3 linked regions of the Rattus norvegicus genome follow. The protein of the gene in region 1 purifies or fractionates together with the protein of each later gene. This does not show direct contact. Links are inferred from orthologs where the notes say so. Each region holds a gene or a part of one and is shown in the gene's direction. Other genes may lie near its edges.

Region 1 (10,396 bases):
CAAAGAAGGGTTGTGTCAATGGCAACAGTTTGCTAGATATTCTCACATTTCCTTGGTAACCCTGGCCGAAACAAGCACAGGCTGTTTGTATAATGGCATTTATTTTTATTTTATGCATGTGGGTGTCCTGCCTGCACGCATGTCTGTGAGCTACATGTGCGCAGTGTCTGTGGAGACCAGAAGACGGGGTTGGATCCCCTGGAACTGGAGTTTCCTCCTCTTTTGTTTTGTTTTATCTCCTTACGTAGCCCTGGTGTCCTGGAACTCACCACACAGAGCAGGCCGGCCTCAAATTCACAGAGATCTGCCTGCATCTGTCTCCCGAGTGCTGGGATTAATGGAGCGCTCCACCGAGCCTAGCTTGCAATTGGAGTTAAAGGCAGTTGTGAGCCACTCTGTGGTACTGAGAAATAAACCTGGGTCCTATGCAAAAGCAGCAAACGCTTGCAACCACTGAGCCCTCCCTCCAGCCCAGAACACGGGTTATCTTACTCCAACTTTAACTGCTCTCCTAACTGTCTGTGGTGGTTTGGATGAGCATGAACCCCTAGTTTTGAATTCTTGGTTCCCAATTGATGGGTCTGTTTGGGAAAGATTAGGAGGTGTGTCACCGGGATCAGCTTTTTTTCCCAAAGCATTTCTGCAGTTCCCAGTGCCCTCTTTCTCAGCTTCATAGCTGGGTACGAACGCAGGTTGTTTTTGCCACCATGGACTCTAACCCTCTGAAACTGTAGGCCCAATTAAACACTTTCTTTTGTAAGTTGCCTTGGCTGGTGTCTTATCAAAGCAATAGAACAGTAACTGAGGCAGGTAATTTGATGTTTCACAGAAGTGGGATGTCTCTTCTTCAAGGACAGCCTGCCCCTTTCCCAGAAAGCCCGGCTCTGGGGTGGGTCTGGAATACAGTCCTCGGGTGTGTCCTGTTCTCCTCTGTCCCTCCACTGTCCTCTCAACTGCCTCTGTTGTCTGGCAGGTTGGTTTCACGTGAAGGAGAGAGCCACATAGACGTTTCATGCCCTGCGTTTGTCTTCCTACTCCATAAAATCAGTGAGTTATGTACTCTGTAGGCAAGTCAATGTTGCTTGGTGAGGAGCCGCAGGAAACAGTAGCTAGGTCTTTCCAGATCGTTGGTCACTGTCATGTCCCACAACCTCTTTAGAGGCAGACAGACTAGAGAAAACCTTGAGAATCTCCCGCAGGACTTTGGACTTCCTGTATTTCGGTCTGTCTTTACTGTGCATATTTGAGTGCTTGGGTCTCTGATTGTGTCTCTCTCCAGGGAAGCTAGACCAGTTGTAACTCAAATTTACTAGTTTAGGCGGGCGTGGGGGGCTCTACTAACTTATATGTCACTATACAGTGCTTCTGGCACAGCTTGATCCAGACCCTCCAATGATGCACAGAATCTGTCTTTGTATCTTGCTTCTGCAGCTCTCTCCATGGGCTATTCTGAGTAGTTTTTTCCTACATGGTGATAAATGCCCTCTCCTAGGGTTGTGTTTTCATATTTGGGGCAAAGAGGGCTTTTCCCACCTCACACAGCTCCAAGATGTGTCTCTTTCTCACAGCACAGATTGAATCAGTGATCTTCCCAGAGCTAAGCCAGGGGAAGGGGGTTCGCTAGACAGAAAGGGGGTTCATTAGACAGAGAAGCATGGTCACAAGCAGGATCCCAGATGGTCTGATGGAATGCTACATCTCTGAAAGAAAACCAAAGTGACGTCACAGAGGAGGACTCAGGGGATAGCCTGGTGGCAGAATGCTTGCCTAGCATGCTTGAGATCCTGAATTTGGTCTCCAATACACATATACACAGATGTACATACACACACACACACACACACACACACACACACACACACACACACATCCATGTTAGTGACAAGCTAGACCCACCCGTCACTGAGCTAACACTCATTCTTGTGTTCTGTAGACATCTGCCTTGGAGAAGTCCCTCCCACTAGTTTCTGTGTCTGTCCTCTACAACAGCTTCCTGTCTTCATATTATCTTCCCCTTCCCATACTGCAGACTCTGCCTGCATCTAAGAGCAGCGTCTGACTGCCTAGCTATCTCTTGCTAGCTTCACTGCTCCTGAAGGCGGGTTTCACCAAGTTCTCTGTCTGAGTGTGAGTACTAGGCCCTCCGGTGCTGAAGGTGGTGTATATACTTCCGGCCAAAGGGAGAGAACCACCAAGCAGTAGCCACCCTCGGGGTGGAAGGTGTTTTTAGGATTAAGTAAATATGGTACTTTTTGTTTGCTTGTGTTTGAGATAGGGTCTTGCTGTGTAGCCCAGGCTGGTGACCTGCCTCAGCCTCCAGAGTTCTGGAATTGTGGGTATGTACCAGCATACCCAGTGAGCGTGTAAATCTATAATGTTCAAAACTGGTATATAGAAGCTGCACAATAAACATCAGCTATTATTATCTGCAGGAAAGGGTTAAGACAGAATCTCATACAGCACCAACTAGCCTTGAGCTCCTTAATGGAGCTAAGAATGATCTTGAATTCCTGAGCCTCCTACCTCTTCTGTCCAAGGGTTGAGATTATAGGCAATCACCATCTTACCTGGCTTTGTTTCTAGGTTTTTAACTTATTTTTCTGAGACAGAGTTTCTCTGCATAACTCTTGGAACTCACTCTGTAGACCAGGCTGGCCTCATAATCAGAGATCTCCCTGCCTCCACCTCCCAAGTGCTGGGGTTAAAGGCTCGTGCTGCCACCTCACGGTTTATTATTTTACGTCTGTGGTGGTTTGAGTAAGGATGGCCACCAGAGGCTCGCACGCTTGAATGCCTAGTTCTCAGTTGGTGAACCGCTGGGGGTTAATGTGTTGGAATAGATACCTCCATATTGGAGGAAACGTGTCTGTGAGAGTAGGCTTTGTTATTTCAAAAGTCCACACCAAGGGGCTGGGGATTTAGCTCAGTGGTAGAGCGCTTGCCTAGCAAGCGCAAGGCCCTGGGTTCGGTCCCCAGCTCCGGAAAAAAAAAAAAAGAAAAAAAAGAAAAGAAAAAAAAAAAAGTCCACACCAGGCCCTGTCTGTCTGTCTGTCTGTCTGTCTATCTACCTCTCTTCCTGACTGTGGATCAGAGTGTAAAGCTCTCAGCTACTGTTCCAAAACCACGCCTTTCTGCTTCCCACCATGATGATCACGGACTAACCCTCTAAAGCCATAAGCAAGTTCCTAGTTGAATTCTTCCTTTTATAAGACTTGTCGTGGTCATGGCGTCTCTTCACAGCAACAGAACAGTGACTGAGGCAGTACGTATGACTGTTTTACATGCCTGTATGTATGTGTATCAAACGCATGCCTACAGATGGTTGTAAGCCACCAGGCGGATGCTGGGAACTAAACCCTGGTCCTCTGCAAGAACAGCGAGTGCTCTTACCCATGGAGCCACCTCTCGAGCCTGGTGCCTAGTTTATGTGATGCTGGAGATCAGGCCTTCCTCAGGCTGTGCACGAATTCTGCCAGCTGAGCTGCATTCTCAGCCCAGTACTGTTAGCACTTTAGCTGCAGACTGCCGAGTCCCTGGCCACGATCACAGAGCCTCAGGCACAATCCAACCCTGTTGAGTAACTATAGAACACTGCAGGCTACAGAACAGTCAAATGCTTCATTTGAGCCCAGACAGCTGTGAGGTGGGCAGGGCGCCTTGTTCCTCTCCTACAGAAACTGAGGCTTGGAGAGGAGGGGCCTCTTGGTCAAGATCACACAGCTAATCGGTACGATTGGAGTCAGGCCCCTTTTGTTCCTTTGGACTACTTCTACCTGGAAGAACGGTTTCCTCTGACAGGGTCTTGCTGTGTAGCCCAGGCTGTGAGGGCTCCTGCCTCAGTTTCCTGAGCACAGATGACTATCAGCACACCTGTGTCTTTGAGCTTTGCTGTCACCGAGCCTCAGCTCCTGCCCTTCTCCAAAGCCACATCTGCTATTTCCCTCTTCTTCCCAGGATAGCCCAAAGCTTTGGTAAATGACAATTATGAAAGGGACCAACATCTTTTAGGTTTTTGAAACAGGGTCTCACTATGTAGCCAGGCCTGGAACTTTTATGTGGACCAGGCTGGCCTCGGCTTCACTGTGATCCTTAGGCCTCTGCCTCCCCAGTAATGGATTCATAGGTGTGGGCCACCACATTGGCTGTAAGATCCAACATTAGTTATCGCCTGACGCTCTGTAGATGTGCATCCAGCTATTTTTGGAGTGAACGTCTCCACATTGAGGCAGGTAAGACTGTTAGAGAGGGGGAGTTAGGGCTGAGATTAAATTAACCTGTCCAAGTCATCTGAGTGACCACCAGGAGTCACAAGGTTCCAGCAAAGGCCTTTCTTGCCCTGACAACCCACCACCCCCTAAGGGACAGGAATGGTTAAGAGCACTTCTGCGTGTGGTATCAGACTTCTGCGTGTACTCAGTGGCCTTTAAACTGTGGCAGACATACTCCCCACTCCACTTGCCACAGGCCTGAGGGCTCTCTAGTGGCGGGAGCACGACTCACTTCCCTCCTCAGCCCCAGCACAAAACAGGTGCTCCATAATGCCCAGTTATTCTACTTCTTCCGGGCCTCAACCCCGTGAAGCAGAGGTCAACGGCATCCCCGCTGAAGCCCTGAACCCCTAGAAAGGAGAAATGAACCCCCCCTAAGGCATCCCAGAAATCCATCTGGGTCATCGACAAGAGAGATCCTTCCTGTCGCAGAGAAGGCTCTCAAGCTGGTTGTAGCCCTTCTGGCGCTTTCTCGGGTGCCAGGGAAAGGACCTCGAGGAGGCTGCGGGCGGCTGGGGGAGGGATGAAGGAACGGATATTTTTTGCGTTTTGACATTAAAAGAAGAGTTGATTCGCGTCAGCATCTGTTCGGGGGTTGGAGCTGACAGCATGGGAGCGGGTCCCAGCTTTGCCGCCCCAGAGCGAAGGGCCGGGCCTCCATGAGCTCCGCCCAAAGGGGCGCTGCCACCCAGAGGAGGCCGGCGCACGGCCGCTGCTCATTCATTGTCTTGACAGAGCATCCTCGGTGGCCAGCCTGCGGCTCCTCCATCCTTCTCTCCTGCCTCCTCCACTTGGGAGGGGTCACGCTCAGCTCTCCGCAGCAGGTGAGGCTGGGCGCCGGGGGAGGGCTGGTCACAAGGGCCCGGCCACGCTGCCATGGGCCACCTGTGGGGCCAGCGCCGGTGTGGGGGCAGGACTGTGGGACTGTGGGGGCGGGCGAGCTGTCAGGGCCACCAGATTGGGGACAGAGAGCCGGTTTGTGAGCCCCGCCAGGAGGACCGAGGACTAGGGAGTGCAAAGGGGCAAGTAGGTCCCAGATTGCTCCAAGGTGAGGGAGAAGGACCATCGTGACCAAGATGGAGGTGGGCTCCTGGGAGCGGCCGTAGCTGGACTCCGAACCTATGCCCCCGGGAGGGAGCTTCGAGGAGGGCAGGGTGGGGTGAGACAAGTAGCTGCCCTGAGCTTTGAGACAGGAAGGGGTTGAGTGCAAAACAAGACTAAGTTCCCCTTTCCGTGGTTTCCGGGCTTGGTACCTGGGTGGGGGAGGAGGCCGGGTGGGGCACATCTTTCAGCCCCCACCTCTGGATTGGGCTATCCTTCTCCCTAGTCCAGACTGCTCACTGGTGGCCTGTGTCCCCTTCTTGTCTTGGAGACTTCACTCTGGCACTTCACCTGCTTTTTTTTATAGACCTGGGAGCCTCCTTTGGGGATACCATGGTGTGTGAGGACTGGAGTCCCAACTAGAAGGGGCTCCCCATTAAGGCAGAGCAGATGGGTGAGGCTGGGGAGATGGATAGAGGCTCCGGGCAGGATGCCTTCCACAGGGCAGCCGAGGTTCCTCCACTGAGCAGGAAGGTGGAGGGATTGGGCACGAGGACGGAGCTCTGGAACACAAGGATAGGGGCCGCTCCTGGGCGGCCCTGGCTGGCTGCCTAGCCACAGTGGGTAACCATCTTAGCGGACCTCAGGGATGTCAGGGTGGGCCTCTCCTGAGTGCAGCTTAATGGAAGCAGCGATGGCTCAGAACATCTGCTTTTTCTGAGCGGAGGTTAGGAGCCGAGGTCTGGGATGCTGGGACCCAAGCCATTGCTGCTGCTTGTAGCCAGAAACCTGGGGAAGCCATCCTGCTACCTCATTCCTTCCTAGGCAAGCTGGCATGCATCCGTCTGTGTGCAATCCCTGAGCTGGAAGGCCAGGGAGAAGCCCTGCCCTGCCTTTAGGAAGCTCTGTGTGGGCGTGAGGGATGTAGGATCTAGAAGAGGTCAATAGGAGGGAACCCACCTCCAGCGTGCCTGGACCACTAGGAAGGAGGCACTGTGTCTCAGTCAAGAACCAGACCCTTGGAGCCACACCATATCAGGCTATTGTAGGGGCTGGTGGTGCAGGATTGAGGGTGTGGCTTGAAGTGCCTGGGAGTTTGACAGAAGAAAAACTGGGGAGGGTAAGCAGGGAGGTAAGTGAGTTGTCAGTCATGGTGAGTAGTAGGTCAGGGTGCCTCAAACAAGATGCTGGAGCCCTCGAAGCCAGGCCAAGGGTTGCTCTGGGGATGACAATGTAGGGCTGGAATTGACCCAAAGGAAAGTTTACAATCTGTGTCCTTCAGGATGAGCCGGCAGGTGGTTCGCTCCAGCAAATTCCGCCACGTGTTTGGACAGCCAGCCAAAGCTGACCAGTGCTATGAGGATGTGCGCGTCTCACAAACCACTTGGGACAGTGGCTTCTGCGCTGTCAACCCCAAGTTCATGGCTCTGATCTGTGAGGCCAGTGGGGGAGGGGCCTTCCTGGTGCTACCCCTAGGCAAGGTGAGCTTCTGGAACCGCAGTGCTCCTCATGATTCTGCTGTCCATTGAGACCGTGGGGTCCTGAGTAGGTGACCCCACAGAACCCCAGGTCCTGGGCTGATATCTGTAAGACGTGACAGGGCCACTTGCTACTTAAGTCTTGGCTTGGGGCTTTCTGCTCAGGATAAGGATGCTCTAGTGTTCTCAGGAATGAGACTCCAGGTCTGGCGAGGACTTTGGGGACTCCTCAAGTGTGAGTCCTGGCTCACGGGTGGAGTTGAGGCAAAAACCTTTCCCTCCCCTCTGAGCCTGCTGCCCTTCAGCCCCAGTTCACTCCTGGACTCGTCAGGGGGTGAAACAGGAAGGGGAGATAGGCCCCAAGTTGTTACCTTAAAAGGGCCGATGGAAGCAAAAGAGAAGAGGAAGTGGTTGTCGGGCTGAAGCTGTGCCTGCACCCTGCGAAGCTCCTTACACAGGAAGCAGTTGGCCCTCGGAAGAGGCCATTTCCAAACCTCTGCTGCTGTCTAGAAGCATCAGGACAGACCTCCAGGACCCTATCTGTAGAACACATCCTATAGCCCCCTTACTCACACTCTCCTCTTGGGGACCCCAACCCGTGCTCACTCTGAGTCCATGGTACCCACAGATGACACTGAGAGAGAGGGCCAGAGTCTCATGCAATTTGGTGCTAGCCTTCCCGGGACTAGGACAGAGCCAAGTCCTCCCCACCTCAGTGCTCCCAGGGACCCCACAACCTTCCCTTGCAGGGGTGTGGGGAGGTTGGATTGGGTTTGGAGGTCAACTGTCTCCATCAGAAGCCATGTTGTGCCCCCTAGACTGGACGAGTAGACAAGAATGTGCCCCTGGTGTGCGGCCACACTGCCCCTGTGCTAGACATCGCCTGGTGTCCACACAATGACAACGTCATTGCCAGTGGCTCTGAGGACTGCACAGTTATGGTAAGTCTTGTTAGGAATGTGGGTTTGAAGGGGTCTCCAGGAAGAACCTGGTGTTGAAGCCCCAGAGACTCACTTGCCCCTTTCTGCAGGTGTGGGAGATCCCGGATGGGGGCCTGGTGCTGCCCTTGCGGGAGCCTGTTGTCACCTTGGAGGGCCACACCAAGCGGGTTGGCATCGTGGCCTGGCACCCCACAGCCCAGAATGTACTGCTCAGCGCAGGTGCCATAGGGTGAGGAGGGGAGGGCTAGGAGACTTGATAGAGGGCAAAGGCTCATCATTCAATGTTGGACGATTGTGCAGGTTGTGACAATGTGATCCTGGTGTGGGATGTGGGCACTGGGGCAGCCGTGCTGACGCTGGGCCCGGATGTGCACCCGGACACAATCTACAGTGTGGATTGGAGCCGGGATGGTGCTCTCATCTGTACCTCCTGCCGTGACAAGCGTGTTCGCGTCATCGAGCCTCGCAAAGGCACTGTTGTGGCTGTAAGTTGCCGTGAAACCTAAACCTTCGGATGTTGCTCTTCCTGCACCCACGTGGGGTCTGAGAAGCTGACCTACCACATCTCTCTCCTCTCAGGAGAAGGAGCGTCCTCATGAGGGAACTCGGCCAGTGCATGCTGTGTTTGTGTCAGAAGGGAAGATTCTAACCACGGGGTTCAGTCGCATGAGTGAGCGGCAGGTGGCGCTGTGGGACACAGTGAGTACTGAGATACAGGGCCCTGCAGGCTGGGAGTCAAGGCTAGAGGCTTGCCCTACCATATGACCATGGCCTCGGTTTACCTGTGAGATGGGGAGTTTCTATGCTTAGTCTGAGGGCCCTTAGCTGGTAATTGTCCGGTAAGGACCTGACATGGCCCAGCCTGTTGCCATCACCACCTGTCTCTACAGAAGCACCTGGAGGAGCCACTGTCCCTGCAGGAGCTGGACACAAGCAGTGGAGTCCTGCTACCTTTTTTTGACCCTGATACCAACATCGTCTACCTCTGTGGCAAGGTGACTCAGTCAGGAGGGCTGGGGGGCAAGGGACGTGGGAAGGTGGCGTGGTGAACGAAGTCGGGTGCCCTGTACTGGTACTGACTCTCTTGCCCACACCTCCAGGGTGACAGCTCTATCCGGTATTTTGAGATCACGTCTGAGGCTCCGTTCCTGCATTATCTTTCCATGTTCAGTTCCAAGGAGTCTCAACGTGGTATGGGCTACATGCCCAAACGTGGCCTGGAAGTGAATAAGTGCGAGATTGCCAGGTGACTGACCCCTAATCCTAATCAGACCTTCAGTACCCAAACGGTCACACTGAATAATGATGCTCACCTTCCTGTTTCCACAGATTCTATAAGCTTCATGAGCGGAAATGTGAGCCTATTGCCATGACAGTGCCTAGAAAGGTGATACTCCTGCGCTCCTCCCAGGGTGCTGGGACCGGAAATGACCACGGGGGGGGGGGCTTGTAGGGTGGGGCAGGAACGTAAACACTCTCATGACCCGCCTTGGCCTCGCCCACAGTCGGACCTGTTCCAGGAGGACCTGTATCCACCCACTGCCGGACCCGACCCCGCCCTCACAGCTGAGGAGTGGCTGAGCGGTCGTGATGCTGGCCCCCTCCTCATTTCCCTCAAGGATGGCTACGTGCCCCCAAAGAGCAGGGAGCTAAGAGTCAACAGGGGCCTGGACAGTGCTCGCAGAAGAGCTACACCGGAGCCCAGTAGCACTCTTAGCTCGGTAAGGCGGGTGGGGAGCTGCGGGAGGGAGCAAGGCGGGACGCTGGGCTCAGGCAAAGGTTCATAGGGAAAGAGTCTAATGTTTAAAGGTGCCCAAGCTCCGCACAGCGGGAGATTCTTGGAGGGCAAGGAGCTAGTGACCAGGAGGCCTTAGAAACCAGGTTGCAAGCCTAGAGACAGTAATCCGAGTAGCATCTGCTGGGAGAGAAGGGCCCAAGCCCTGTGGCTGTTGGAAAGGTTAGCTGACGCCAGTGGAGGGAAGAACAGAAAAGCTGGGCTAATGCAGGGCTGGGTCTCTTAGGACACCGTGTCACGGCTGGAGGAGGATGTGAGGAATCTCAACGCCATAGTGCAAAAGCTTCAAGAGCGCCTGGACAGGCTGGAGGAGACTGTTCAGGCCAAGTAGAAGACTCCAGAGCCTTCATCTGGGGCCAGCCATTTACTCTGCTCCCACCCCAACCCTCAGGCCATATGGTGGATAAGACGAAAATAATAAAACGGCTTTATTTTCTGGTACCTCTGACTGGTGAACTGGCTAGCCCCAAGGCTTCCCCTTGATAGTTCTCTGAACGCAAGGTCACCATTCAGGTTGTGGGTCACTTCCAAATGCTCGCTGTAGCAGAGGGGCGGGCCCTGCCTGCTAAGATGCCTGCTGCGATAGAGCTGGATGGGGCTGGACAATTGTTCTCCACTTCCTCGCTCTGCCTCAGAGTGGAAGGTCTGAGCCATCCAGATCCCTCTTAGGGCCCCCAAAATGTCAGTCACCCCAAAACCTGGTGTTTTCTTTGGTAGTGCTGGACCAAAGCTGTTAATATGCCATGTAAGCTTTCTATCACTCTAGCTATGCCTCTAGTCCTGACCCCAAATTAGCATTTCCTGGTCAACACCAGCACAACCTGCAGACAGCCATGCCAACACTTGCTTGTCGGGAAACCAACGAGCACACGC
Region 2 (9,794 bases), on another chromosome or scaffold:
GATCCTCTAGAAGGGTAGCAAGTGCTCTCAATCACTGAACTATCTCTCCAGCACCAAGTTGGGTCCTTTCTTTTATTTTTTTCTTTCTTTTAAAGATTTATTTATTTATGTATCTGGGTGTTTTGCCTGCATGTACATTTGTACACCAAAAGAGGGCATTGGATCCCATGTGACTACAGTTCTAGATGGTTGTGAGCCACCATGTGGTTGCTGGGAATTGAACTCAGGTCCTCTGGAAGAGCAGCCAGTGCTCTTAACCACTGAGCCATCTCTCCAGCCCCAAGTTAGGTCCTTCCAATAGTACAGGGCCTTTTGTGTCTGACAGGCTCTTAGAGTATCAATGGTGAGACCAAGGGCCTTGGGTTGTAGTACAGAAATGTCATGCAAATGTCCTGTGTTGGCCTGCTACAAGGAGAACTGCCAGGCCATAACTGTCCAAACTATAGGTCAGTAATCACAGATGCAGGCCGTCCCAATGGGATCCTGTCATCGTCCTTTGGGGAATGCCTGTGATGGTGGAGATGGGCTGTTGTGCCCCTGCATCCCTGGCATTGAGGTGGGTGCTTGTGATTCTTGAGATCTGAGAATCATCTTGTTACTACTCTCTTCAGCCAGTGGCTCCATGGACTCAACCCTCATGATCTGGCACATGAAGCCCCAGTCACGTGCCTACCGCTTCACGGGCCACAAGGACGCCGTGACTTGTGTGAATTTCTCCCCATCGGGACACCTGCTTGCCTCAGGCTCCCGAGACAAGACCGTTCGAATCTGGGTACCCAATGTGTGAGTTCTGGACTTCAAGGGACTGACAGCATCGAGGGACTTGGTATAAGAGCTGTCCCTCCTTGGGTCCTTATCCTGGCTTTGAGCTTGTCACAGTGGGACATGTGACCTCTGAGGTGCCATCAGAGGCTGAAGCTTCGCTTGGGCTGTCTCCTTATGTTGGAATGGCTGCTACCTGGTGTTGCAGCTCACACGAGGGTGGTGGTGGTGGGAAAAGCACTTTGTTTCTGTTGGGCAGCTCTGGCCTCTTTGGGGTGAGACCGGGACACTTAGGCCTAGGGAGTTGGCGAGAACTTTGGTGTCCTTGTAGGTTCTCATGTCTGTTATGAGTCTCCTGAGTCTGGATGTCTATCCTCAGCAAAGGTGAGTCAACTGTGTTCCGTGCACACACGGCCACAGTGAGGAGCGTCCACTTCTGCAGTGATGGCCAGTTGCTCGTGACAGCCTCTGATGACAAGACAGTCAAGGTGTGGTCAACTCATCGCCAGAGATTCCTGTTTTCCCTGACCCAGCACATCAACTGGGTCCGCTGTGCCAAGTGAGAATTTCCTGTCTGGAGAACCTGGGAGCGTGAAGGGTTTGGGGTCAGAAGGGCTTGCAGGTGTCAGCTTGTAACCTTGGGCAGGTTGTTTACCTCCCTTTAGTGTACCCCTGAGTCTTATTTTTCTGTACGGGTAACTTTTTTTTTTTTTTTTTTTCCCGGAGCTGGGGACCGAACCCAGGGCCTTGTGCTTCCTAGGCAAGCACTCTACCACTGAGCTAAATCCCCAACCCCGAGTCTTATTTTTCTAATCTGTAATATGTCAATAGTGGTTGCTGTATTGAACTTGTTGGGGGAGCATCATTGAGTTCTATGTGACACATATTAGTCAGCCATGACCCTCTGTCAGGTGTGTGGAGCACTCCCAGGCTAGCAGATAGCAGCCGCAGCAGCCACAAGTCCTCTCAGTACCACGGTGTGCTTTCTCCTTGTTCCTGAGGACAGTTCTGCCAGCTAGGTAGCATCTTCTTTAGTTTGCAGAGAGAGAAACAGGCTTCCAACAGAGCAGTATCTACTCAGCTTAGTTATACTTCAGAGCTGCTGGGTAAGGACTTGGTGTGGAGGCCCTGGCTCTGGTGTGGGAGGTGGGATGCCAGTGGCTTGAAGAATTACAGAAAACATATTCCTGCCTGTGGTTTTGTCAGCTTCTTTAACAGAGCTTTCTCATGTCACAGCTCTGCTCCAGAGGAGGGTGTCCAAGGAGCACTAAGAAACCATGAAAGTCGGAGGTTGGGGACCACTGAACTATCTTCCTCTGGAAGTTTCTTATTCTCTATGACAGAACCATTCTTATTCTGGGAGGGCCCTGCTCAGAGAGCGGGTACTGATAGGGAGGGCAAGCCAGCAAAGTTGGGTGTTAAGTCCTCGGTAGACCTTGAATAGTAAGTCTCAGGACCTCCATGTGTTTTGTTGGCCTTCATATTTTGCTGATGTCCTCATGTGGTGTTCCTGACCACCGCCATGTATCAAGCAGCACCATCTGTGTACTGCTATAGGCCATCTGTCTCCTGGGTGTTCTGTGCTACCGTGTGCTTGCTACGGGTGGGCACTGCAGAGGGTCTGTCTCACAGAGGAGGCCGCTTGTCCAGGATCACTCAAGGTATCAGAGCAGCACATGCCCGTAGGTGGTTCTCGGGTCAGGCAGTTGTTGGTACACACTTGGGAGGACTTGGGAGGCTGAGGCAGGAGGATTGCCACAGTTTGATCTACATATAGCGTTGCAGGCCAGCCAGTGCTACACAGTAAGACCCTATGTCAAAACAACAACATTAAAAAGCCTTAATGCGGGGTTGGGGATTTAGCTCAGTGGTAGAGTGCTTGCCTAGCAAGCGCAAGGCCTGGGTTCGGTCCTCAGCTCCAAAAAAAAGAAAAGAAAAGAAAAAAAAAAAAAGCCTTAATGCCAAAGAGTTCCTGGATCAGGCAATAGCACGCTAGAGGAAGTGGCTGTAGAGAACACAGTGTGGTACTCAAAGTAGTGTGACTTATGGTCCTGTCAACCTAGGTTCTCTCCTGACGGGCGGCTCATCGTGTCTGCCAGCGATGACAAAACTGTCAAGCTGTGGGACAAGACCAGCCGGGAGTGTGTCCACTCATACTGTGAGCACGGCGGGTGAGTCTCTGTCGTCCTCCCACTGCGGGTCCTGCACAGAGTAGGTCAGGGCATGGTGACCCAGGGGCCTTCAGGGGCTGGGCTGTGCATATATCAGCCCTGCTTGCTGCTCGTCAACTGAATATGCTTTTCATATGCACTTTTACCTTTTCCTTTGTAGATGGAGAGTTAAGCCCCATCCTTATCCCATAGACAGCAGAAATTTTTTACCTAGAGTTACACAATAATTTGGTCTCTTTTCCCCCTTTTAGTTTCTAGTTCTCAAAATTATAATGTGTCTTTCTGAACATTGAATCAACCCCCTAAACTGTATGTCAGAACTTAGTGTTCCCCCATGGTGATGATTTATGAATGAAAGCCTCGGTTCTCGTAGCTGGTATTGGCTCTTCGTCCTATGCCGCATTACTCAGGCAGAGTAGGCGGGGCCTCTGAGCTTTTCTACTGTCTAAGCAGACTGCCGCTTCACTCCTCATGCCTTAAGCTGGGCCTCTCCCACCGCATGGCAGGGATCCCTCCAGAGTGCCTGAGTATTTATGCATGTGCACTGGAGGCTCTTGACTGGTCTTCCAGAGACAGATGGGCGAGCAGCCCTTGTAGCACTGCCAGACCTTCCCACCCACAGCTCAGTTGGTGGGACCTGCCTTGGAGCTAGCCCTGGCAGAAGGACCCCAGAGCACCTTGGCTGACCTGCTGGTCTGAAGATAGCTATCTCCACTTGTATTTAAAAATCAGCCGGGGGCTGGATGTGGTTACACACACTTGTAATCTTAGTCCTGAGGAAGGGAGGTAGGAAGGTCGGCCGGGCGACATACTGAATATGGAGGTGTTGTCTCAAAAAAAACTTAAAGACAATGGGGTTGGGATTTAGCTCAGTGGTAGAGCGCTTGCCTAGCAAGCGCAAGGCCCTGAGTTCGGTCCCCAGCTCTGAAAAAACAAAACAAAACAAAACAAAAAAAACAAACTTAAAGACAGAAGAGGAGGGGAAGGAGGGAGGAACATGGTTCCTGATAAGTCTACTTTATGTCACTGCTGGTCACTGTTGTCAGCTGCTTTTTGGTGTCTCCTGGCTACCTGGTAAAGAAGCATGTTCCAGGTTGAGGGACCTGTGTGACCAGACACACAGGGAAAGGGCGCTTTGGGTGCGTCCTATCCAGGGAAGAACTCTTACAGTATGTGACTGTTCTCTCTCCAGCTTTGTCACCTACGTGGACTTCCACCCCAGTGGGACCTGCATTGCTGCTGCTGGCATGGACAACACGGTGAAGGTGTGGGATACTCGGACTCACCGGCTGGTGCAGCACTATCAGTGTGAGTGTCGAGCAGTGTCGCAAGCCCACAAGCCGCCACTGCTGAGACGGTGTGAGGGCTGGGCATCTGCTTCATTACTGCGCTGCTTAAATAGGCCCAAAGACAGCCCCGAGCTGGGAGGATTCCTGCGGCTGTTGGGTCCACCAGGATGAATAGTTGGTGTGGTAGTCATCTTGGCTTGGAACGTTGGTCAGGTGGTGCCCTGCTATAGCAGAGTCTCACACACGCTGTAGCTGCCGAGTCTTTGGTGAGTTTCTGGCTAGGACTGTTTCTGAGGCCTGCTCCTTGAGAGCGCTATACTACTCATCTCTCCCTGTGACGGAGGTGACTTCCCAGGGCCAAGGAGATGGGCTGCATAGAGGTTGGTGGGACCTTGGCCTCATGTTACCTTCCACAGGTCTTCCTACAGCCATGAAACACGTAGAAGGTTGCTTTAGCTGAGGGCCAGCCCTGGTGCCAGGCCTAGGCCTATGGCCCCTTCTTTAACTGTCACCTGTGGATACAGAGCAGCGGGAGTTGACATTGGGTCTGGAGTTCAGTCTTTAGCACTCTCTACCCCAATATTCCCGTAAGACTTCTGTGGTTGCTTCTCAGACATTGGAAAGCAGCACTTTCTTGGGCTGCCGAGCTGAGGAATCCAGGAACTGGGAGAAGTTCCTGGTTCGGGACAGGACAGAGTGGAGTGTGGATTCTGTAGCCAGCTTCAGCATTCTCAGCTGTGTGACACTAGGTGGTGGGTCAGTGACTCCTCTGAGCTCTTGGGACAGTGATGGGGTTCATCTTACAGGTGGCAAGCCAGGGCTTGACTTACCTCTTGTTAAGAGGGAAGAGTGGCTGGCACAACATGGCTACAGTGACAAAGATGCTGTTGCTGCTGGCCCCAAGTGTTCAGCAGGAGTCATCAGTCACTTGTAGAGACATACAGTCCACGGTGCCACCAGCAGGTGGCAGGCTTAGCCACCAGAACCAGGCCTTTCCTAGTCAGAGCCAAGGCACCTCCCGCTGCTGTGCTTTCAGAGGCTTCCAGAGCAGAGCAGTCAGGTGCACGTCCACCCTCTTTAGACTCAGAGGCTTGGTTTCTGTCCTGGCCCAGGCCCGAGTTAAAGGCTAGGGCTGGAGACTGGGCGCTGTCTCCATGTTGACTGGTGAAGGTGGCAGAGCAAGGAGAGTCTGGGCAGGGAGAGATGAGACAGGAAAGGGACCAGGGAGTGCAGTGGCCAGGAGCGCAGGCTCCTGTGTTCTGTGACCCTTGCCCATGAGGTGATAATCTGCTGAGAGAGTATGTAGGGGTATTACGGTATAGCGCTTGGTGTGGTTTGTGCCACACAACCCTACACTGGGAAAGAGGATTTCTAGCTGTCTCTGGAAGAGTCTCCCTGATAGATTCTTGAGTTCTAGCAGCATGTATCCATTGGAAGATCTTTGAATGCCACCTTTAAACCTAAGGTCCCAAATCCTAGTGACTGGTAACTCTGGGGCGTGACACTCGAGGAGCAAATGGAGGAGGGACATTTGAGAAGACAAGTGTTGAGAGAGATTCTGCTATGATGTGTGGTTGATAGACCCTGGTCATTGGTGCACGGATTTCCATGCTCAGTGTAGAATGAATCAGAGTGGTTAGGCCAAGGGCTGCTTATGTAGAACGAGTAGAGGCGGAAGCTGATGCCGTGCTGGTGGAGGGGCCACCTGGGCCTTGGGATCTGGGACATGAGAAAGAAGGGCCACTGCCATATTCTGAACCATTATGGCTGGAGCTGGAGGACCACTAAAGAGGAAAGGACTCCACAGCAGCCATGAGACCCATGAGACAGCTGGGGAGGGCAGAGTCCAGAGGAGAATGAGATCTCAGGAGGGGGCTGGCAGGAGGTGGAAGAGTTCAGAGGAGGTAGGGAGAGGACTGTGGGTTTCAAGGGAGTGGGCAGAAGTGCAGCTCAGGGCTAGCAGGGCCAGGAGGGCCTTGGGTGAGCATCAAGGCCAAGTTCCGAGTGGACGGGAGTGCTTGCAACCCACAGGTTCCTCTGAAAGCTTTCAGTGGGAGTTTGCTGCTTCTTTGCCTCTTGGGATGGAACTCCTCAGCAAGGCTGCAGGGTCATATTTCTCGGCTGTCCTGCTGTGTGTCGGAGCCTTGTGGGGACTTTGTGCAGCCTATAAACACAGCCGGCTTCCTCCTGAGCTTCCTGCCCAAGGCTGTGGCACCTGGTAGGTGTTCACACGAGAGCAAACTCACCTCTCAGCTTTGGGGATCACCTTCCGGGAGTGGGAGGGGGTTACAGCTCACTCTACTTTCCGATACTGTACCTCTGGCTAGGTCTGCTCAAGTCAAAGGCCTTCACAGAGAACTTGGCTAAAACTCTGCCAGGGAGGGTCACCCTCTTCAGTGCACCCATGGGTCTGTTTGGAAGCTCTCAGCACCGTTGTGGTAGCAAACCTCTGATCTCTCCTCTGTTCCAGATTCCTAAGAAACCCAGGTGAGAGATCTAAGGATACAAAGTTCAATGTCTCCCGCGGTGGTGCGGGATAAGAGGCTGGTGGGCTCTGAGAGAGTGTGGTTAGTGCTTGCAGTGAGTACCCAGCACCCCGCGCTCATGCTTCTGTCCTCGCCTCGGCTGTTGGAGTAAAGCTTGCTTCAGCTGTGAGTTACAGCATGTAGCCAGTGCTGTTGGTCTAAGGTGGGCTGAGTGTCCTCCCCGGCAAGGTGTTTCTTGGCTCCTGCCTCTCACTGCAAGGAGCAGTTCTGATTTCCTAATTCAGCGAGGAGCCGATGGGCTGGTGGAGCCCTGATAGTGCCAGTTCCCGTGGAGGTGGGTTAAGCACCATATGCTCAGAGCCCACGTTAAGACTGTTCAAACATCTGAGCAGCAGCCCCCGCCATCCCTGAAATCCAGAATGTGCTTTGTGGTTTGCGAACATGTGCAGGCCCATGATCCAGGCACAGGCCTGGGTGACCAGCAAGGCATGGCCTCTCCCCGCTTCATCCTCAGGTAACGTGAGGCTTGCCTAGAGCCACACAACTGAGAGCCAAATCTAGCTCTTCAGTAGGAAGGGTCTGGGAGTCTGCCCACTGTTCCCACGCTGAGTCCTACGCACTCTAGTGTTTTATTTACAAAGCTCCTGGGAGAGATGGGTTTTCTTGACAAGTTGTCAGGAGGCTTGGCTTGGTCATTTCCAGAAACTTGAGTTGCTAAGTCTTTGAGTTCTCTGGTCACTGGCTCCTGAGAACATCTGTGTACCTCCATCCTACCCAAGGGGTCTTTGCTTAATTGTATTCATTTTTGTAGGTATGAGTGTTTTGTCAAACATGTACAATACCCAAAGAGGCCAGAAGAGAGCACTGGGCCTCCTAAGACTGGAGTTATATTGTCATGAGCAGCCATAAGGGTGTGAACCATGACTTGAATCAGGGTTCATCAGAAGAGCAATGAGTGCTTGTGACCACTGAGCCATCTCTTTTAATGTGGTACTAGGAATTGAACCTAGGACATCAAGCATGGCTTTCACCAAGCTATATACCCCAGTCTCATTACGAAGGCCTTTTTGCTCTGTTTTGTTTTTTGATTTTTTTTTTAAAGTGTGTGTGTGCATGTGTGCGTGTGTGTGTGTGTGCGTGTGTGCGTGTGTGTGTGTGTGTCTGCAGAGGTAGAATAGGATACTGGATCCCCAGATGTTAGGAACTAAACTCAGGTCCTCTATAAGACCTGAGTTATAGGTTACCTGAGTTATAGTTATAAGCAGTACACATTCTTTTTTTTTTTTTTTTTTTTTTTTCCAGAGCTGAGGACCGAACCCAGGGCCTTGTGCTTGGTAGGCAAGCGCTCTACAACTGAGCTAAATCCCCAACCCCAGCAGTACACATTCTTAACTGTTGGGCTATCTCTCCAGAGCATCATGGAGGGCTTTTAAATGACTTTGCAGCTAGCAAGATACTGAGCCTTTTATTTGGTGTTCTAATTTTTTTAATTACATTAATTGATTTAAATGTTTGTTTGTTTAGAGTGAGTGCATATGTGTGTGCACGTTGCATGTACACACATGTGAATGTGCCATGGCATACTTGTGGAGGTCATAAGACAACTTTGGGAAGTTGGTTCTCTTTCTGTCATGTGGGACTCAGAGATTAAACTTAGGTTGTCAGGTTGTTATTTCTCTGGTCCTATTTGGGGTGATGGGACTTAATGTATTAGTCAGGAGCAATGCTGGCTAACCTTCTTCACTGTCTCCTACCATCCCAAAGTGGCCATTTATGTGACCTTGCTTAAGGTGACTTAAGGGTCCTTGCTGCTAGTGTCAGGATACATTTAGGTATATTCAGCATTCCTTGGAGACCCAGAGCCACAGGAATACGAGTTAGCATCATGAGGAGCATGTTGGTCCTTGGAAGTGAGCAGACCCCTTTGTGACAGGATGTGGAAAAGGAGCTCAACCCCAGCACTATCTATCTCAGAGAATCCATCCTCCCAGGCACCAGGCTTTATCTGGGTCCCTTGGTATCCCTGGACTCTAGCAGGCTCAGGTTTGCCAAAGGCTTCTTCCTGTACACAAAATAGTGTCCGTGGAAAGGATTGTGTGTACTTAAGTCTCTCTCCAGGTTCTCTGCTGCCCATAAGCTGTAGCCATTTCCTGGTGTTTAGGGGCAGGGGCTACAGGACCCCACTGGCTCTTGGTTGACCTAGAGCAGTGTGCTGCTGAGCGTCTCTGACACAAGTTACAGTTCCCACTCTAGATCACAGCTAGGAGCACACAGCTACCAAATGATAATCTGTGTTGTCCCTGATATCTGCCATAAAGCTAAGGCGACTTGGACAGCTCAGGACGTCATAAAAAGGAGGTTGTTCTTGGACAGTCACTGCTCAAGGCATTGTGACGAGAGGCTCATCCCTTCGTTGGCTGTGAGGAGAGGCTCACCCCTTTGTGGGCATTTGAGAGAATATTATGCAGTGATGGCTTTTGGGGTTGGAATAGATGGATCCTGCCTACTACCTCAGCAGAAGCAGAGTGGAGGAGACTGTGGCCAGCAGTCAAGGCAGGAGAGCAAATGGGGATAGTGGGGGTGGGTTCTATGTCTGGATGTCCCTTGAGCCTGATGTCAGGCTCAGCCCTCCTCGGGGGTCAGTGGCTGTAGAACCCTGGCATTTGTAACAGAGTGGGGCTTCTGTTTCTTTCCTTTGGGGACAGTTTTCTTTCTCAGATAGTGATGGAGTACATAGTTTTGTGTCTACATAGACTGCTGTCTTGGTGGTTCTGGGGAAGCCCAGGGCTCCCTGAGCATGTCTTACTGTGCTCCACCTTTCTGCCACTGGCTGTGCCTCTGCTGCTTTGTCTTAGGTGGATCAGGGGTCAGGGTGGCCTTCACTCCAGGGCAGGCGGAGGGGTCTCTATTCTGTCTCCAGGAGTGGGCTGTAGAAACCTTGAGATCTTTTCCATGCTGCTTCCTGGAGTTGTCATTGGAACGTGTTGCTCAGATATAAATATCAGGTTACATAAAGCCTTGGCTGTCTCCCTAAGTGTTCCTGGGAACATGTCTGCATACTCCCCGCATTCATACACCAATGCGGC
Region 3 (9,794 bases), on another chromosome or scaffold:
GAACAGATTATGAGGGCGATGAGCGTGTAGTATAAATCCTTTCCCAAGCCACCCTCTTCCAAGCAACCATTTTCCTAAAACTGGAGTGATTACTTACCCTTGTATCAAGTCTTATTTAGAATATACTAGTAAGCCTAGCATTATCTAATAAACAATTAAGTTAAGAAATAAACAAGCAGTCTTGTGGGTGGTATTTCTGAGGGAAAATGAACCTGAGTTCACCACAACTACGATAACTTCCCACTTTGAAAAACATAAAACAAGAATCACTGAGCAAGCATAGCCTCCAATACTCTGTTCCGCTTCGTTTCAGTCCTTTGAATTGCTACCTAGAAGATCAGATGTCGGTTCAATCAGCAGCCCTGAGCAGAATACCAGATCCTCCGCTCCTCTTGGCTGTACTGAGCACGCAGAATTAAAGAGCCTGGGCCTTTAAGACTCGCGTGAAAGTCCCCCGAAGGGGCGGGGGAATAAACGCCACGCCTACAGGGCGGAGCTACTTCCTAGGCCAGGGACCGGCATGGCGTGACGTCGTGGCGAAACCCAGCTTTGGTTGGCGAGAATTTAGAGAGGCCGGCTGAACCTAAAGGGGGCGGGGTCTAGTTGCCATGGTGACCGGCAGCCCTGCGGTCGCCTGGTAACGTTGGCGACAGGGCGGTCTGCGGGGTGCGGGCGGCGGTGGCCGCAGAGATCCTAGCCCGGGTCCAGCCCGGCCCTGTGGATCTGAGCAGCGATGGCTGCCGCGGCCGCGGTGATCCCGCCGTCGGGCTTGGACGATGGGGTGTCTCGGGCTCGCGGGGAAGGCGCTGGGGAGGCGGTGGTGGAGCGCGGGCCGGGAGCGGCCTACCACATGTTCGTGGTGATGGAAGACTTAGTGGAGAAGCTGAAGCTGCTCCGCTACGAGGAGGAGCTACTCCGAAAGAGCAATCTGAAGCCCCCGTCCAGGTGCGTGCTGTGCCCCAGCGCCGGGTGCTGGCTGGGCCCCAGGGGGACGCCCCCTCCTACGTGAGGCGCAGACCCCACGCGGGGATCCGCACGTCCAGTCCTCTGTCTTCTTTGCTCTGGAAGGGAACTTCTGCACCGAGGAAGGTGGAGTTTTTCAGACCTGATCATTTTGTGGAGAAAGTAAACAAGTTTTGAAATGGCAGGGAGGCCTGGGGAAGATAGCCTGTTTATTCTTTGAAACAGACACGCACCGTCTACCAAGCACAAATCTTGTTTTAAGTGTAATAAAATACCCACAGTTGAAAGGGAAAAAAAAAAAACGATCTCTAGAGATGAGTGGCCTTATCATTTACATCTCTTTCTAGTTTTTGTTTTCCTTCGCTAGACTTCCTAAACTGACAACTGTGATTACTTAGGACCGTGTTGAGGAGCACTTTTTATGTAGTACGTAAACTTGTGGGCTAATTACTATGGTTCAAAGGACTTAATACTTTTGCAATAATACTCTTAGAAACCGGAGAGTGGAGAAGGCAAAAGAAACAATAAGTGTTGGAATGGCCCTCATTATAGGGCCTAAAGTTTCGTGCTTGCCGTGGTGGGAAAAGTTTGAAATATCCTGAAGGCAGTGCCATTAGTTGCCAAGAGTGATAGACAAAACTCCCACAGGTAATCATGGTAGCTTAGTGATAACTGTTTTATTGCTTTTCCTTCACTTTAAAACTTGTATTTGTTTTATTCTGAAAGAAGAAATAAAAAAGAACTAACATACTTTCTTTTACCATCTCTGGGTAGGCTCATATAATTTCTCTTGGCAGTTTTGAGCTCTTACCCTCTTCCAGACACATTTGGAAGGATTCTTGGGCTTTTATACAAACTGTCCACAATGCCAAATTAGTCTGTAAGGGAGAAAAATTACCATCTTGATCCTGATCTACAATAGAAGTTTTAGGATTGGGATTATTATTTAAAAATGAGTTGGTCATAATAGCATAGATGGCCAACATTTTCGGTGTTGATAAAAATGTTGTTTTTCAAATGTATTTGTCGAACAAAGGGAAAATAGCCTTACACTTCTATTAATACCTTGCTGTACTGAAACTCTAAGCTTGAGCAAGATACTTTGTACCATGCATTTGTGTGGAGACATTCTAACCAGGAGTTCAAAGTGTCACTATCAGACCAAAAAGTCAGCATCACCTGGGAATACAGACAGAAGTTTCCAAGGCTCTTGTCCAGATCTGCCTTTTCAGAACTTCTGGAGGCAAACTATCTGAGTTTTCAATCCCTCTGGGTGATTCTGATGGACCTTCATGCTTGAGAATCCTCATCTCAGGCCCACAGCATCTGTCAGTGTGCCTTCTTCTGTCCTAGAGGAGAGTCAGGTAATAAGGAATAAACAGTTATTGGTAGATAAATTCCTTGTAAACCTATGCCTGAAAGGAGTTCATGAAAAATTTCCTAGCTTTATATTTTCTTCCAGAACTTTTATACTTTCTGGATGGAAAAAGTTTAGAAAATAGAAGTATAGACCACTGATTCTTATGTCATATATATATGTGTGTATATATATATGTACACATGTGTGTATACTGTATATATGGATATAGTAAAAACATAAGTCATTAGTTTCTTAAATTCATATATATATATGTGTGTGCGTGTATTAGTAATAGTGGTAGCTACATAAAACATATCAGATCTCTGATTTAACTTTTGAATGATGCTACTTGTACCTTTATGTCCTCCCTCGCTTTGTATAAATCATATCCTCATGGCAATGTATCTAGTACAGTAATGGAATTAGCAAAAGTTAGCAGTGGTGATGCAGGGGGACATGACAGGGGTCCTTGGTCCTTTCTGCCACCCTGGACCATCTAAGCTGGGAAGCTCTGAAATGTACCTGTGCTGGGTTCCATCCCATAAGTTATGGCTGTGCAGGCCTGGGGACTGCTGCTGGCAGTATTTTAAGGAGTTGATCTGAATCTGCAGCTAAAAGGAAGCACCTGCCTGGCGTAGCTGATAGGCCACAGACAGTGAAAACCATGGTAAGTTATTAGTCTCTTAAAGTCCAAGAGCCTCATAATCCACAGTCGCCACTTGTAGGGGGACTGACTGATGACCAGTTAATTGATTGTGACCAAAGCTTCAGGTCATCCTCCAAAATTACTGCCTTCCATCCCTGGTTGGGGTAGGGGTGTCGATCAAATATTTTGGGTAGTGTAGTGATTGTCCCTTGATACTGGGTCAAAACTTCTTGAGTGCCATAACTCACTAGATAGCTCAATAGTATTGATGAAGGCTGCTTGAGGGGAAAATTAGCAACTTCAGACTTGTCTGTGTGACTTACTCACTGTTGATTTGCTTTATCTCACCAACCAATCCTCCCTTTGAAACAGACACTACTTTGCTCTGCCTACCAATCCCGGTGAGCAGTTCTACATGTTTTGCACTCTTGCTGCCTGGCTGATCAACAAGACTGGCCGTGCCTTTGAGCAGCCTCAGGAATATGACGATCCCAATGCAACTATATCTAACATCCTGTCTGAGCTCCGCTCTTTTGTAAGTGACGCGCTCTCTTCTCCATGTTCTCAAACTGCAGGTTTCCGTAGTAGCAGTTCAGTAACAGGTGCGAGCCTTTTATTTGACTCTTCTGGAAGAGTAGACAGACAGACCGATAGTTGACTGATAGGAGTGATTTTCCAATTTATTTTAAAATAAGAGCTTCCCAGAATGGTTGATATTATATGGAACATGAATTCCACTTCTAAAAACGTTACATAGACCAGATTAATAATAATTTTCTTAATTTTTGTAAGCCTCAAAAATAGATTCTTAGGTAGGTGGTCAGCTCTTCCCCTGGAGGGATGATTCAGAGTATGAAGCAAACAACTGACTTTGGAAGGATTTGGGTTTTGTTAGGATTTCTCATTTGTACTTTCATTTCTGGCTTCTCCAGGGGAAAGGCAGTAAGACATTTTTGACACTTATTAATTTCTAATAAGTGAATCACTGTATCCTTTTTTTAAAATGCATTTTACCATGCCAGTAGTTTTGCTGACAATTTTTCAGTACTGATTTGTTTCCCTGCTATGATGAAACTGCCTTTATTCATTTATATTTTTGAAATTACAGAAAGTTAGGTCTTTTGTCCTGTATGTAGGCTACAGTACATTCTTTGAAGCAGAAACAATAAGTTAAGATATTAAAAAATGACAATTCTAGATTGAACACAGTTACAGAGGTCACCCCTCAAGTCTGCCTCTGGATTTTTCTCAGGTGTGATGGGGAACACAGAACAGCAGTGTTGAGCTTACATGTCCCATTCTGCACAGTCAGCAGTCTAGCTAGTTAAGTAAATCCTAGTTCTTAACGAAGCTGAGCCTAAGGTGATAATAAGGGTGGGCTGAGGGTGTGGACCTGAGAGGTCTGGAAAGCTTGTATGGTGAGGATGTAAGTGCCTTTTAATTTGGTACTTTGAGCATAAAATATCTGTACTTGTGTAAATGTATCAGTGGACTAAAAAGACTTAAGGAATGAATGCCTAAGAGAATTACCTTTATCTTGTCATTTGAAGAGTTCAAAATATACATGTGCTCAGTAGTTCTTTGCTGAAACAATCTTGGCCTCTGGAATACAGCCAACAAATAACATCTTTATCTTTTCAGGGGAGAACTGCAGATTTTCCTCCTTCAAAATTAAAGTCTGGTTATGGAGAACATGTATGCTATGTTCTTGATTGTTTAGCTGAAGAAGCATTAAAATATATTGGTTTCACTTGGAAAAGGTAACTATTACCTCACAGACAATATTGCTATTACAGAATTAATGGGTTTTGCTGTTGTTATTGTTTGTCTTGATTGTTTCTGGAGTACAGAGCTGTTTAATTAAACTGACAAGGGCTGACTGATCTAAACTGACAGTGCACCAAAGATTAAAGATAGACACAACCAGAATGCTTTCCAAATCCACTCTGAAATGATTTCATCAATCCGGTGCATCTCCTGTTTGTTGTTATTGTAATCCTTGCCAATTTGGAAAACCTTTCTAAGTTCTCTCTGTGCTCGTATTTATACCCACAACTATTGTGTGTGCTTGTCGAGGTAACCGAAAACCTCATATTTATGTAGAATAGGAAATTAAAATAGCACTGAGTGGGGAACTTTCTTTTTGCCTTGCTCAATGGCAAGAATAACGCTGAAGAAGCCACTTGCCATCCTTTTGGTTGGTTTCTGAAAGCACATTGTGTATTTTTTACGATATTTTAATAATTTGTTTACAGATATAGCTTTGTAGGTACAACTCTTACCAATCCTTCATCATATACAATCTTTGGTAATTAGCATTGTACTTAGTTCATCATATATGTTTAGTAAATATTGATGAATAAATAAAATCAGAAACTATTGGTTTTCTATGGTATGATTAAAATATATACATTTCATCTTTGAAAGCTGATAGGTTAGATTTTATTTACTGATTATTAGATATTATTTAATTCATAGGTTAGACGGTAGAACATGATAAAAATAAAGTATGCATTGTTTTTTAGATTTCAACAAACTCCTGCAGCTAGAAAGTGGTATATAATATTCCATGTTAATATATTAATACATGCACAATTACATTTATGTAAAAAAATCTACTTTATAATTTTTTCTTTTTTTATTGGATATTTTATGTATTTACATTTCAAATGTTATCTATCCCTTTTCCCGGTTTCCCCTCCAGAACCCCCCTCTTTCATCCCTCTTCCCCCCCCCCCCCCCCGCTTCTGTGAGGATGCTTCCCCTCCTGTGGACCCACTCCCACCTCACTTCTCAGGCATTCCCCTACATTGGGGAAACGAGCCTTCACAGGACCAAGGGCCTCTCCTCCTATTGATGCCAGACAATGCATTCCTCTGCTATACATGCAATTGGAGCCACGAGTCGCTCCATGTGCACTTTTGGTTGGTGGTTTAGTCCCTGGGAGCTCTGGGGGTCTGGTTGGTTGATATTGTTGTTCTTGCTATGAGGTTGCAAACCCCTTCTGCTCCTTCAGTCTTTTCTCAACTCCTCCATTGGGGTCCCTGTGCTCAGTCCAATGGTTAGCTGCAACCATCCTCATCTGTATCAGTAAGGCTCTAGCAGAACCTCTCAGGAGACATTCATATCAGGCTCTTGTCAGCAAGCACTTCTTGGCATCAGCAATAGTGACTGGGTTTGGTGGCTACATATGGGATGGATCCCCAGGTAGGGCAGTCTTTGGATGGCCTTTCCTTCAGTCTCTTCTCCACTCTTTGTCCCTGTATTTCCTCTAGATAGGAGCAATTCTGGCTTAAATTTTTGAGAAGGGTGAATGGCTCCATCCTCCCAACCAGGGTCCTAACCTCTGGATATGGTCTCTGTAGGTTCTCTCTCCCCTTTGTTGGGCATTTCAGCTAATGTCATCCCCGTTGGGTCCAAGGAGCCTCTTGCTTTCCTGGCATCTGGAATTTTCTGGTGGCTACCCCAGTTTCCCATCCCCCATTGCTATACACCTCTGTTCAAATTCCTGACCCTCTGAATATCATCCCCATCTTCTCTCATACCTGATCCTGCCCCCTCCCCCTCCCCCTCCCTCTCCTTCTCTTCCTCCCAAGTCCCTTCTGCCCTCTACCTCCTGTGAGTATTTTGTTTCCTCTTCTAAGAAGGATTGAAACATCCACATTTGGGTCTTCCCCCTTCTTGAGCTTCATATGGTCTGTGGAAATCTACTTCCTTTTAATAAGTATTTCTAAAAATTCTGAAAGTTGTGTGTGTGTGTGTGTGTGTGTATGTGTGTGTGTACAGTACAAGAAATATATTTAGGAATAGTTATACACTTATTTTTTTCTTTTTTCTTTTTTTCGGAGCTGGGGACCGAACCCAGGGCCTTGCGCTTGCTAGGCAAGCGCTCTACCACTGAGCTAAATCCTCAACCCCAGTTATACACTTATGTATGTAACAACAATGGAAGAAAAAGGAGGACTGAATCTTAAAGAGAATAAGGAAGTTGATATATGGGAGAGTTTGGATGGAAGAGAGAAGGGGATTGATAAAATCTCAAAAATTATTAAAACTTCCATGATTTAAGCTGTCTTTGGATATAAGTATATTCAATAACTGATATCCATTTAGTTTCAAGGTAAAACATGGCAGTTTCCTTTGCTTCAACCCAAACATTTCCATTCAGTTCATTGTAAAGAATGACTCTGCAGTCCCTAATTGTGTTGGTTAGATTTCAAGAAAAGATGAATTACATGATGTGCTGCCCGAGTTTGTTAGTTACTAAATCCATAGCTCAGTGTGTCATTGTTGCATTGCAGGCTATTACTGTGTCAACCACTATTCAATTCACACTTCCTTTGTTTCTAGTATAATATTTGGTTATATAATATGGGTTGTGACGTGGATAATTTGTAGGAACTGTATATACATGGAAAAGGAAAGGAAAACATTTGAAAAGTAATGAATGTTGGAAACTATCACTTGTGTTACATAGAACTTTCTTATTTATAGACGGTTATTCTTATTCCTAACTATGTCAAACGATTTTTAGAAGAACATTGTTTTTGATATAATTATCTAATTCTAAGTCATGAAAATTGGGAAATTTATTATACAAGATTGATTTGGTTCATAATACTTTTTTTCCTACTACATGTTGATCTGTATATTTTTTTAAAAATATTTGAGATGTATATGTTTAGAATTAGTTGTCACAATTAATGCAAATATGTCTGGATAATTTTTAATGTGAAAATAAGTAGATCTTAAGAGAAATTGTTGTCCAACACTTTAGTGTTAGAACCACTAATTGGACTTCAGAAATAAGAATCAAGCTTGCTATCTCTAGAAAAATAAACAGCATATTTGAGATCAATGTGAATTGAAAATTAAAACTATAAACATAGTAAAAGATCAGAGAGATGTAGGCAGGTGTGACTCAAGGGAATGCTTTAATTCTGTAATATTAAATCAAAGGTCTGGACAGGAAAACGTTGCCAAATCTATCTAGGAAGAATTATAACAGTCTTCATTATTCATGATTCTAAGTAGTAAAACTAGGGAGCAGATTAGATTAGGTAAACAATTTTCTTCCCCTATTGATGCCAGACAATACCCTCCTCTGCACATATGGGGCTGGAGCCATGGGTCCCTCCATGTGTATTCTTTGGTTGGTGGTTTAGTCCCCAGAGCTCGGGGCGGGGGATCTGGTTGTTGCTATTGTTGTTCCCCATATGGGGTCGCAAACCCCTTCAGCTCTTTCAGTCCTTTCTCTAAGTCCTCTATCGGGGTCCCTGTGCTCAGTCCTATGGTTAGCTGCTAGCATCCTCATCTGTATCAGTAAGGCTCTGGCAGAGCCTCTCAGGAGAAGCCCTTGGTCCTGTGATGGCTCTTTTCCACAGTGTAGCGGAATGCCAAGGTGTTGAGGTAGAAGTGGGAGCATCTTCAGAGAAGCAGCGGGAGGACGATGAGGGATGGAAGAGGAGGGAAAGGGGTTAATGTTTGAAATGTAAAGACATAAAATATCCAATAAAAACAAAAAATAAAAAGGAAATATTTGCTGCAAAATATATATACATGTAAAATTTAGTATATAAATTTAAATGATATTGAATAAAACACAATTGAAAGACGGGGTGGAGGAAACTAGAAAAAACATTAATTTTCTTAATTTATAAAAGTTAGAGTATAAATGAGAGTTTCACTAAAAATGAATCATCAATTAAAATATATAAAGTTGCTCAATCACGTCTATGATTAAGAAATTTAAAGAAACAATGATACTTTTTCATTTGTTTTATTGGCACACTTTATTTTATGCATATTAGAAGAAAATTTGAAACATAGATGCCATTCCTCACCATCCTTGGGAGTATAAATTAGGATAGCATTTTGGAAGCCAATTTTGACAGTTCGTTAAACCACAAACAACGTACAAACTTGTCGATGTAGCCATTTCACATGGACAAATTTATCTTAAAAGATCTGCCTGGTAGTAAATTTACAAATATGATCTTTAAAGTATTATATATCAAACAATAGAAATGACCCTATGTTTTAGTCACAGGATGAGCGTTTAATGGTAGAACTGCTGCTCAGTGGAGTGTAATGCATATATTGTTTTGTGTGCGTATATGAGTGAGCATGTTAGATACGGTATATACAGCATCAATTATTTTTGTTAATGTGCCTTTTACAGCTAGTGGCAGATATCTTTGCTTTTCTCAACATTGAAATTTTGGGGCAGAAGCAATCGATTTACTGAAGTTAACAAAGAGAGCGGTCCCATACGGAAGCGCCTTCACCATTCCTCGTAAGGCATGTTTTATCTCACTAAGAACTTCTAAGCATTCAGTAAATCTTGTTCTTTCAGGCCATCATACCCAGTGGAAGAGTTAGAAGAAGAAACTGTTCCGGAAGATGATGCGGAGTTAACATTAAGTAAAGTGGATGAAGAGTTTGTGGTAAGTGTGCAGCCGAGCTGCCTACAGCCTTGCCTGTGGCTTGCTTTCCCTTGGCTAACTCTCCTACTTTGGTTTTCTGGAATGTGTTTTGTTTCTCAGTGCAGTGCCATTCTCAGTCCTTAGGCCTCTGTTTAAGTTGTTATTTATGGTCCTGAGTCAATTTCCGAAGAGGTTCTAAGTGTGTGTGTGTGTGTGTGTGTGTGTGTGTGTGTGTGTGCGCGCGCGCGTGCAGGTGTATCACCAGCTATCAACATGTTTGATCTTAAAAAGCCATAACTTGCAAAAAATTAAAGAAAAATAGCACTCAGTTCCTACTTGGCCAAATGTGGCCGTGCATACCTGCGATCCCAGATTTTTGCCAGAGTTGGGCTGAGTACTT

Evidence for each region.
Region 2: the proteins of Coro1a (region 1) and Poc1a purify together in Homo sapiens (affinity purification with mass spectrometry; 3 studies listed by BioGRID and IntAct, counting the BioPlex papers as one, with this or other methods). This does not show direct contact. The link is inferred for Rattus norvegicus from reciprocal best matches to the Homo sapiens genes CORO1A and POC1A.
Region 3: the proteins of Coro1a (region 1) and Ift57 purify together in Homo sapiens (affinity purification with mass spectrometry; 3 studies listed by BioGRID and IntAct, counting the BioPlex papers as one, with this or other methods). This does not show direct contact. The link is inferred for Rattus norvegicus from reciprocal best matches to the Homo sapiens genes CORO1A and IFT57.

Annotation. Positions count from the first base shown.
Region 1 is NC_086019.1:190,725,697-190,736,092, reverse strand, and holds Coro1a (coronin-1A), read left to right. Parts: upstream 1-4,989; 5' UTR 4,990-5,092; intron 5,093-5,530; exon of another isoform or gene 5,531-5,705; intron 5,706-6,570; exon of another isoform or gene 6,571-6,591; 5' UTR 6,592-6,592; coding exon 6,593-6,790; intron 6,791-7,605; coding exon 7,606-7,728; intron 7,729-7,817; coding exon 7,818-7,947; intron 7,948-8,028; coding exon 8,029-8,213; intron 8,214-8,307; coding exon 8,308-8,427; intron 8,428-8,618; coding exon 8,619-8,723; intron 8,724-8,828; coding exon 8,829-8,974; intron 8,975-9,057; coding exon 9,058-9,115; intron 9,116-9,233; coding exon 9,234-9,449; intron 9,450-9,749; coding exon 9,750-9,854; 3' UTR 9,855-9,964; downstream 9,965-10,396. UniProt on the Homo sapiens protein: May be a crucial component of the cytoskeleton of highly motile cells, functioning both in the invagination of large pieces of plasma membrane, as well as in forming protrusions of the plasma membrane involved in cell locomotion.
Region 2 is NC_086026.1:115,804,668-115,814,461, forward strand, and holds part of Poc1a (POC1 centriolar protein homolog A), read left to right. Parts: intron 1-611; coding exon 612-783; intron 784-1,093; exon of another isoform or gene 1,094-1,127; coding exon of another isoform or gene 1,128-1,141; coding exon 1,142-1,321; intron 1,322-2,825; coding exon 2,826-2,933; intron 2,934-4,125; coding exon 4,126-4,241; intron 4,242-6,253; exon of another isoform or gene 6,254-6,440; intron 6,441-9,794.
Region 3 is NC_086029.1:64,584,441-64,594,234, reverse strand, and holds the start of Ift57 (intraflagellar transport protein 57 homolog), read left to right. Parts: upstream 1-689; 5' UTR 690-733; coding exon 734-945; intron 946-3,341; coding exon 3,342-3,504; intron 3,505-4,610; coding exon 4,611-4,729; intron 4,730-9,324; coding exon 9,325-9,415; intron 9,416-9,794. UniProt on the Homo sapiens protein: Required for the formation of cilia. Plays an indirect role in sonic hedgehog signaling, cilia being required for all activity of the hedgehog pathway.